3 linked regions of the Macaca mulatta genome follow. The protein of the gene in region 1 interacts with the protein of each later gene in a biochemical or structural test. Links are inferred from orthologs where the notes say so. Each region holds a gene or a part of one and is shown on either strand. Other genes may lie near its edges. The genes, in order: EP300, TAL1 and H1-1.

Region 1 (3,652 bases):
ATTAAATGATCAAACATCCATTTAAAAACAACTGCAGGCTGGGCGCATTGGCTCACGCTTGTAATCCCAGCACCTTGGGAGGCTGAGGCTGGTGTACCACCTGAGGTCAAGTATGAGACCATCCTGGCCAATGTGTCGAAACCCTGCCTTCTAGTAAAAATACAAAAATTAGCCAAGTGTGGTGGCACAGGCCTGTAATCCCATCTACTCGGGAGGCTGAGGCTGGAGAATCACTTAAACCCAGAAGGTGGAGTTTGCAGTGAAGCGAGATCTTGCTGCTGCACCCCAGCCTGGGTGACAGCGAGACTCCGTCTCAAAAAAAAAAAAAAAGCAGATTGTAAAATTTGTAAAATTCGGTTTGAAGATCCTGTTAATAATGTCTGTTTACAACTGCTGTGAGACATATTTATTTATACTTACAAGGTTGAAAGCCAGTTTATTAGTCCTGATAAAATACAGAATCAGGGCCGGGCACGGTGGCTCACACCTGTATCCCAGCACTTTGGGAGGCCTAAGCGGGCGGATCACGAGGTCAGGAGATCGAGACCATCCTGGCTAACACGATGAAACCCTGTCTCTACTAAAAATATAAAAAATTAGCCAGGCGTGGTGGTGGGCTCTTGTAGTCCCAGCTACTCGGGAGGCTGAGGCAGAAGAATGGCGTGAACCCGGGAGGCGTTCAGTGAGCCGAGATGACACCACTGCACTCCAGCCTGGGCAACAGAGCAAGACTCTGTTTCAAAAAAAGATGTAGAATCAGACATAAGAATTCTGTCTTTTATTCTTCAGTTTCAGAAAGGCGTTCAGATCTAATATTTTGCACATATTCACAGGTTTGAATCAATTTGGCCAGATGAGCATGGCCCAGCCCCCTATCGTACCCCGGCAAACCGCTCCTCTTCAACACCATGGACAGTTGGCTCAGCCTGGAGCGCTCAACCTGGTTAGTTTGACGTCTTTAGTAATCATTTTGGCCTTTATCTGGTATTTTGAAAATCCTGTTTGTTCCTAATTTATAAATGCTCACAGTTATTTAAACAGACCATAACTCCTAGTTCTTCTGTAATTCTTCTGTATTTAATTCTACTAGAAAGCTGACCAAAAAACGAAAACAGCCAGGCCCTTGTCCCTGGAGTGTCCATGTTTAGTGGCCTGCATGCGTTTTCATGGTCACCTCTCTTCCCTGATGTCTGTCTTCCCTTCTCCAGGCAGAGAACTGTCTTTTTGCAAGGTTGATGGTGCATTTGCCTGGTTCTTGAGCTCGGAGAAGAGAGGCTAGGCTTCTGCTCCTTATGTGAACTCTTAACCACTTCATCTCTCTACCTTGACCCCGACCCTCCTGCTGCCCTTTAGAGTTAGCTGGTGCCTCTGAATCTTGGCCCCTTTGGGGCCCCTTCTTGTCTTATGAAGTTTTTTGCCTTTGGAGATTTCTTTCTTTAAGGCCTGAATTTGTGTAGGGTAATTTTAGAAATGAAATATAGCATTGCTAGAGCATTTGTGGACCATGAATGCTACCAGATTCTGCCACAACTTGTAAGATTTTACTTGTTTTTACATATTATGGGTCTTAGAATTTGTGTTATTACTACATCACTGACATGAGCTTATGAAATTGTGATTAACTCTCCTCACTTAACAGAGCATGCAAAGAAAGTTACCTGCTATCCTTGTGCTAGACATATTTGTGTACCAAGAGAATGTGTGTTTGTTCCATCCTCTTACTATTTCTTGAGAGTAGACCTAGGTAAACTGTGAGGCTATTTCCCTTTTTCTGCACAAGAGTCAGTTGTTCTATAACTTTCTTCCTTCTCCTCTCCAGCCCTCTTCACCTATACTCCTGTCTTTGACTTTGCTTAATAAACCTGACATTAGGACCTTTTGATGATTTTAGTTATAGTAGAATAACTGTAATGAAGCAGTTTGGTGATCTGTGTTTTTTTGCAGCCTATGGGCTATGGGCCTCGTATGCAACAGCCTTCCAACCAGAGCCAGTTCCTTCCTCAGACTCAGTTCCCATCACAGGGAATGAATGTAACAAATATGCCTTTGGCTCCGTCCAGTGGTCAAGCTCCAGTGTCTCAAGTATGTCTCATAAGTGGATTTTTTACTTTTTTTTGATTCTTGAAATTTCTCTTGACGTAGGTTTTTATAGGAAAGAGTGGCAGCAGATAGTGGGTGAAAACAGATGATTTTTTTAAAAAATAACAGTTTTAGACTTAGGGTGTTCTGAACCTTAAGAGATTATTCTGTGACATAGCAATGGTGTTAATTGTTACAAATTAGGAAATAATATAAATGGATGGTTTTGTTTTTAGTAGTGAACACTTTTAAATAAATCTTAGAATTAAACACAATGTAGAAGGAATTCTGGCTGAAGAGAGCATAGGCAGGCCCTAGAGCACTGTGCTCTCAATTCTGTCGTTTTTCTGCAGTGGCTGAGGCCATTCGGCTGAGTGGTTTGAAGTCGGTTTACTTAAATACTGTATCAATGGTGCTGTCCAAAGCTATATCCCCAGTAACAGGGTATTTTACACATTTTGAAATAGACACATTGCTACTCTTTGTTTAACCAGTTTGTGTCCTAAATTCATATAACGTGCCATGTAAGTATTTCTTTAATTCTGTTTTGAATTGCTATCTTATGTTTTTTATTTTAACAGGCACAAATGTCTAGTTCTTCCTGCCCGGTGAACTCTCCTATAATGCCTCCGGGGTCTCAGGGGAGCCACATTCACTGTCCCCAGCTTCCTCAACCAGCTTTGCATCAGAATTCACCCTCGCCTGTACCTAGTCGTACCCCGACCCCTCACCATACTCCCCCAAGCATAGGGGCTCAGCAGCCACCAGCAACAACAATTCCAGCCCCTGTTCCTACACCTCCTGCCATGCCACCTGGACCACAGTCCCAGGCTCTACATCCCCCTCCAAGGCAGACACCTACACCACCAACAACACAACTTCCCCAACAAGTACAGCCTTCACTTCCTGCTGCACCTTCTGCTGACCAGCCCCAGCAGCAGCCTCGCTCACAGCAGAGCACAGCAGCGTCTGTTCCTACCCCAACAGCACCGCTGCTTGCTCCACAGCCTGCAACTCCAGTAAGTAGAGATTTGATTTAGGCAGAATCATTAGAGCTGTACTGTAGTATTATATTATTTCTGGGTCATTTCTATTACTCTCTTTTGCTTTATCTCTTACTGTTTTCTCCACAAGTAGAGTGTAATCTGTTTTTCATTAGGGACTTTCTTATCCTGTTTTGCATTCCTGTGATAGGACCTAACGTAGCAGGAGTGTAAAGATTTTATTTAGCTCTGACTTTGACCATTATGTTTCATGTTGTATCCTGAGGTCTGAAGGTACGTAGAGGGGTATGACAAGGGGACACAGTCCTTCTCTTTATTTAGTATATTATTTAGTGTAACACATAAATTTTACATATATTTAAAGAATCTTTTTCAAACAGTTTGAGCTTTAAAACTTAGAGATTAAATTGAAAAATTGCAGATTTGGGCAGGCGCGGTGGCTTATACCTTTCATCCCAGCACTTTGGGAGGCCTTGGCGGGCAGATCACTTGGGGTCAGGAGTTTGAGACCAGCCTGGCCAACGTGGTGGTCAGAGACAGGTCAACCCTGTCTCTACAAAAAAATAGAA
Region 2 (3,652 bases), on another chromosome or scaffold:
TGGCGCTAACTTTGTCTGCCTCTTCTGTCTCTGTGTGTGAGTTCCTCTCTCTGCCCTTCACCCCTTTACCCCAGCCCACGTCGGTGGGTCAGGGGCGGTCGTCAGAGCGGGCATCCGCTTGTCTGTCTGTCTGCCCGCAGGATGACCGAGCGGCCGCCGACCGAGGCGGCTCACAGTGACCCCCAGCTAGAGGGACGGGACGCGGCCGAGGCCCGCATGGCCCCCCCGCACCTGGTCCTGCTGAACGGCGTCGCCAAGGAGACGAGCCGCGCGGCCCCCGCGGAGCCCCCAGTCATCGAGCTGGGCGCGCGCGGAGGCCCGGGGGGCGGCCCTGCCAGTGGGGGCGGTGCCGCGAGAGACTTAAAGGGCCGCGACGCGCCGGCGGCCGAAGCGCGCCATCGGGTCCCCACCACCGAGCTGTGCAGACCTCCCGGGCCCGCCCCAGCCCCCGCGCCCGCCTCGGCCCCAGCGGAGCTGCCCGGCGACGGCCGCATGGTGCAGCTGAGTCCTCCCGCGCTGGCTGCCCCCGCCGCCCCCGGCCGCGCGCTGCTCTACAGTCTCAGCCAGCCGCTGGCCTCGCTTGGCAGGTCAGGGACCAGGGACCAGGGACCAGGGACCAGGGGCCAGGGGCTGGGCGGGAGGGGCGGGTGGGCAGGGCGACCACCCCCACCGGGGTTTCCCTTCTGCACAGCGGAGGCGGCCTGCCCTCCTGCCCCGGGGGCCGAGCGGGTGGAGCGCAGGCAGAGGAGGTCATTTTAAACCCAAGGGCTCTAGAGTCTTAAGCTGGAGCCCCCCGTGAGTGCCAGTGAGGGAGGGGCCTTCTGTGAGAGAGAGTGTGCGTGTGGTTGCCGGGTGCATGGCTGTGTGGAAGCCGACAGGAGGGCGTGGACACCTTCGGGGGTGCAAGCGTGTGGCTGGTGTGCTGGGTGGTGGTGTTGTGGGGGACGGAGAGGAGGGAGTCCCCTGAGCGTGGGTAGCAGGAAAGAATGTGCCTGCATGTGCTTTGCTGTGAGCAGAGGTAGATGTTTGTGGCTGAGGGTGTGAAATTCATTCGGAAGCGCAGCGCTAGCTGGACAGGCAAGAGATAAGGATATGAGGATGGTGGCAGAGGCACCCTCCCCCGAATCTCTGCTGGAGGGCCCGCCTGAGGTCTGATCTGCCCCTCCACTCCCAGCCCCTCTGCTGCTAGCTGTGGTCTCTGGCCCCAGCCTGTACTCCAGTTGCTGTAAGGGCATCCGTTTCCCCGCTGGGGCCACTGTGATGATGACGGAGAGAAGCGGTAGGGTTGGAATAGAATCCGGAAGATGGGGCTAGGATAGAGTGTGGGACAGTCAGTGAGTCTGGCGGGCACCCAAGAGACAGAGCTACGGAGAGCTTAGAGTGGGTGAGGGCAGAGAGCTAGGGGGAGAATTTCAGCGAAGGGGAGTCAGGGTTTCCTGTCTGTTGTGTATCCACAGCCCCTTATGGGTGGGGTGAGGTGGAGGGGGGGAGAGGACAGTGTGCCCCTTTGTGGTGACAGAGATGCACACCATCAGGTGTGAAGGTTACCTTTGCCTGAGTGGGCACGTGTTTGGGAGTGGAGGTGTGTGTGGATTGTGTGCTTGTTTCCAAGGCAGGAGAATGGAGAGTGTTTCTATCTGTGAAGTGTGTGTGTGTGTGTTTGTTCCATGTGTTATTCACCTCTGCTTCTGCATGTGTGCCTGTGTGTTTGTGTGGGGGGATGCGTGGTTAAGGTGTCTCCTCCTCCCTTTGCTTGTTTCATGACAGAGTGAGGGCATTCTGTGTGTGCGTGTGCGTGCGTGTGTGTGTATCTGTGTGCAGCATATTCACTGCTCAGGTGTGAAGGGAGCAGGGTTGCCCAGAGGTGGGGGACTCAACACATGTGGGGAGGATCCCTAAGTAGCCTCTTTCTCCCCTCCCCGCAACACGGGATCTTGTGATCTGCCTGGTCCATCTGACAGCGGGTTTTTTGGGGAGCCGGATGCCTTCCCTATGTTCACCACCAACAACCGAGTGAAGAGGAGACCTTCCCCCTATGAGATGGAGATTACTGATGGTGAGTCTGCCCCACCCCACCGCTGTATCTGCCCCTCACGCTGGTTAGAGCCCTTTGCAGGAGGGAACATCTGAGGCTACTCTGTAGGTGTCACAAAGGTGGGTGGGCCACTTTCGAAACCCAAACTGCCGAAGCCCTTCACTCTGCAGCTGAGCTGGGGCTAGGTAAAGTCCTGCGTGGGGCTAGCAGGACCACACTCACAGTCCCGTGAAGAGGAGACATGGAAGAGAGACACATAATGTGCTTAGCCCAAACCTCTGGAGTTAGTTCCAGTCCCCAATCCAGGCTCCATTCCTACACTTTGGCAAGGATCCCAAGTGAGCGCAGAAACACACAGTGTCCCCAAACCCCCCATTGTAGGCACTGACCCTCAGGGATTCCCTGCACTTCCTCCCAAGTCTTCCTTAGAGTCTGGAGTCTGCTTCCTCCCTGCAATGAAGTCATCAAGGGTTTCCTCCAAGGACCCTACACAGTAGGCTCCCCTTGTCTCCCATTAACACATTCTGGGCTAAGACCTGGAGTTCCCTTCCTGACATCATGGATTCTACCTTGCCCCCTGGATTCCCTGAGAAGGGCCTTGGCACTGCTCCTTTAAGGTACTTGAATGTTCCCTGAACTTGCAGGGATGGTTTGGACAAATGGGAGATTTGGAAGACCCTCACTGTCTTCCCAAGGTTGACCTTGTATAGTAGATTGGTCCCAGCACCAGGGGTAGGAGAGCAGGTACTTCAGAGCTGAGGGACTTTGAGCCAGACCCAGAAGCTCCCAGAACTTCAGCTTGGCTATGGCCTGGGGCTCCTGTAGGAAGGCTCCCCAAGGCCTCAGAGCCAGGCTGAGATTTATGCTGCAAACTGGTGGGAGGGATATGGGTATGGAGCTGGAGGTGGAGCCCTCTGTGGTGTTCTGGAAAGGAGAGGGGCTGGCGTCTGGACAACAGAAAAGACTTCAAAAGACCCAAGCAGCCTGGGGCACAGGTGTGCAGGGCTGAGAGGCATGGGTGCCTTGCTCTAGATTAGAGGGGAGTTCTCTAGTGTAGGAGAGGTGGGTGTACCAAACAAGAAGTAGACAGGACCAGCCCTGAAGTTCCCCAGGGATGAGGCATTTTCTACAATAGGCAGAGGAGGCAGAGCACAGGGGTGAGGGTTTGTGGGGTGTGCAGGAGTGTAAGGCAGTCATTACCCATAAGTGTTGGCAATATTTACCAAGCATCTACTCAGTGCTGGCCAGAGAGAGAGGCAGAGGACACCAGGAGAGGTAGACAGATTCAGGAAAGAGGAAGGTGGGGAGACGGGGGGGTTCTCTGGAAAAAACCACAGAGGAATAGGCAGACATGTAGGTAAAGGGTGTGTCTAGGGGACACTGAAATTAGAGACTGAACCCAAAAGAGTCCATAGAAGTAGAAATAATGCAAGATCTAGAGTTAGGACTTGATGTGGATTCCTGTTGCTGAATTGCTACCACCATGTATTGGTTACCTACTATGTGCCATGGACTATGTGTGCTTGGTTTCTGTTTATTCCTTACCACAAACTCATGAGGGCAAAATTACTGTTTTCATTTCACAGATAAGGAAATTGAGGCTGAGAGAGGTTAAGC
Region 3 (2,669 bases), on another chromosome or scaffold:
TATTTTCCAAGTTTTAAGAAATTACGTGAAATATTTGAATGCGTGGCTTCTCAATAAAATAGACGTAGGAAACACTGGTAAAGAAGATGGGTACAATAGTTATCTGGGACTACTACAATTATTTGGTTGACACGTTGTTTGAAGAAAAAGGGAAAAAGCTCAGGTTACTTAGCACAGTTCGGACTTATTTAAAAACTACAACAGCACGAACGGAAATAGACCGCATTCCCTCACTCTCCGCTGTGTTAGGGGGTTATCCAGAATAGGATTGTAGAAGTGGATGTCGATTTAATAGTTTTTTTTGTTCTCCCGTTAGCTGAGTCTCTGATTGGCAATGTGAGATCGTTTTAGCTTATTGATAATTTGAAATGCTCTTAACAGCCACAAACAAGCTAAAGAGAGGTTACCATAAAATCTTATCCCCAGGGTGTGCTTACACTTACCGTTTGTTTTCACACTAAGGAGACTTAACTCCCCAGCAGAATGCCTGTCGGGGAACCAGTTTCTTGGACCCAGCATTTAACGCCTTTCGCAGGTTTGTGAGGCCCATAAATCTTTGTTGAATAAAACAATGAGTTCACCATGTCATGGTGCTCTCATTGCATGTGCTGACATGGAACACAGGTTGTAAACCTTAACACCCATTTGGGGCATGTTGTATGGATGAAAAGGGCATTGGAAATTCCTGAAGTGCATCCCACATTGGACTGTGGAAGTAAGTTACAAGTGCAGAAACGTTTCCACACTTGCAGTTTGAGTATTAATTGCAGCGTTAGTGAATTCTGGTGTTGTCTACGATTCATTCTTCTTTGACGTGAAAGGTATTCGCGAGACACATCGCTCTAAAACATTGCCAGAAAATGTAATCGAGTTGATGACTACTAGCCCTAACACGGCCTAAAACCCGCACTTTCCTCTTCCTCCCCAACTATTCAAACACTGTATTTTACATTTCTTGCAAATTAAAAACTAACATATCTGGCAACGGACCTCTAAAACTTTCTAATAAAACTCCCTGGATGCTTGTGGGGCTGCATTTGCAAACCGCTCCCCATCAACCTACTCCCTAAAACAGAGCTGCTTTTTGAGAGACAAGCGGCACCCTCTGATGTTACTAGGTGGCAGTCGGCCTACAATTTCCTTCACAATGAGGCAATCGGAGCGGCTTTTTCGGTGTGTTTGCTTGCGTTGAGGGGAGCGGGACCATAGGCCCTAGAGGCCCCCAGGTGCTCTCTGAGACTGGGGGAAACCCTCTGCAGAGCGCAGGGGGCGCTAGGGTGCGAGGGGCGGGCACTGACGGGCACCAATCACTGCGCAGTCCCACCCTATAAATAGGCTGAGTCGGGGCCTTTTTTTTCTCGCATCCTGCTTGGTCAGGTTTATACCAGTTTACTTGGTGTGCTGTATTAGTCACCATGTCCGAAACGGCGCCTCCCGCTCCCGCCGCTTCTGCTGCTCCTGAGAAACCTTCAGCTAGCAGGAAGGCAAAGAAACCTGCTAAGGTTGCGGTGGCCACTAAGAAAAAGCCTGCTGGCCCTTCCGTGTCAGAGCTGATCGTGCAGGCTGCTTCCTCCTCTAAGGAGCGTGGTGGTGTGTCGTTGGCTGCTCTTAAAAAGGCGCTGGCGGCCGCAGGCTACGATGTGGAGAAGAACAACAGCCGCATTAAGCTGGGTATTAAGAGCCTGGTAAGCAAGGGAACGTTGGTGCAGACGAAGGGCACCGGCGCCTCGGGTTCCTTCAAACTCAACAAGAAGGCATCCTCCGTGGAAACCAAGCCCGGCGCTTCAAGGGTGGCTGCAAAAACCAAGGCAACGGGTGCGTCTAAAAAGCCCAAAAAGGCCACGGGGGTTAGCAAAAAGAACGTCAAGACTCCAAAAAATGCTAAAAAGTCTGCGGCAACAAGGAAATCCTCTAAGAGTCCCAAAAAACCCAAAGCTGTAAAACCCAAGAAAGTAGCTAAAAGCCCTGCTAAAACTAAGGCTATAAAACCCAAGGCGGCCAAGGCTAAGGTGACGAAGCCAAAGACTGCCAAACCCAAGAAAGCGGCACCCAAGAAAAAGTAAATTCGGTTGGAAACTTTACTAACCCAACGGCTCTTTTAAGAGCCACCTACACACTTCGGGAAAAGAGCTGTAGTACACAGATGAAATTCCCCCAAGCAAATGCAATACGCCCTCATTTATATTAGAATCACTTGGAGAGTCAATAGGAACTTTAACATAGGTTGAGTAGTAAATTCTTGCCAGATGAGGCTATCAAAGATAGCAAGGTGAATTCAAATGCACCGAGTTAAAGTCGAATTTTAGATCACCTGTTTTGCTTTTTTTTTTTTTTTTTTTTAAGTAGCCCGAAGTCCCGCATCTCACGACCCCAAGCTAATTAGTCATAACTGTAACGAACCAAGGTTGAAGCCTAGTCCCAGGCTTGAGGCTTTTTTATTATGCAAGGTTAAAGTGCGGACATTGCGTTCTTGGGTCAATATTGCTAAAGTAGCCTTTTCCGAAATTGGGTGGTCCTAAGAAATGCTTCTGGGATAGTAAGCAAAATTCATGGCTTAATCACGCCCTCTCCGCAGCAGTGGCTAGAGAGGTGTCTGTCCTTGGGAATGACGGTGACCCTTCTGGCGTGACTGGCGCCCACGTTGGCGTCCTCTGAAAGCCCCACCAGGT

The links.
Region 2: the proteins of EP300 (region 1) and TAL1 form a complex in vitro, tested with the Homo sapiens proteins (3 studies listed by BioGRID, with this or other methods). The link is inferred for Macaca mulatta from reciprocal best matches to the Homo sapiens genes EP300 and TAL1.
Region 3: of the proteins of EP300 (region 1) and H1-1, one has a biochemical effect on the other in vitro, tested with the Homo sapiens proteins (2 studies listed by BioGRID). The link is inferred for Macaca mulatta from reciprocal best matches to the Homo sapiens genes EP300 and H1-1.

The regions. Positions count from the first base shown.
Region 1 is NC_133415.1:10,366,181-10,369,832, reverse strand, and holds part of EP300 (histone acetyltransferase p300), read left to right. Parts: intron 1-833; coding exon 834-943; intron 944-1,944; coding exon 1,945-2,082; intron 2,083-2,660; coding exon 2,661-3,098; intron 3,099-3,652. UniProt on the Homo sapiens protein: Functions as a histone acetyltransferase and regulates transcription via chromatin remodeling. Acetylates all four core histones in nucleosomes. Histone acetylation gives an epigenetic tag for transcriptional activation.
Region 2 is NC_133406.1:193,467,370-193,471,021, forward strand, and holds part of TAL1 (T-cell acute lymphocytic leukemia protein 1), read left to right. Parts: intron 1-140; 5' UTR 141-141; coding exon 142-587; intron 588-1,961; coding exon 1,962-2,056; intron 2,057-3,652. UniProt on the Homo sapiens protein: Implicated in the genesis of hemopoietic malignancies. It may play an important role in hemopoietic differentiation. Serves as a positive regulator of erythroid differentiation.
Region 3 is NC_133409.1:157,091,519-157,094,187, forward strand, and holds H1-1 (histone H1.1), read left to right. Parts: upstream 1-1,415; coding exon 1,416-2,063; downstream 2,064-2,669. UniProt on the Homo sapiens protein: Histone H1 protein binds to linker DNA between nucleosomes forming the macromolecular structure known as the chromatin fiber. Histones H1 are necessary for the condensation of nucleosome chains into higher-order structured fibers.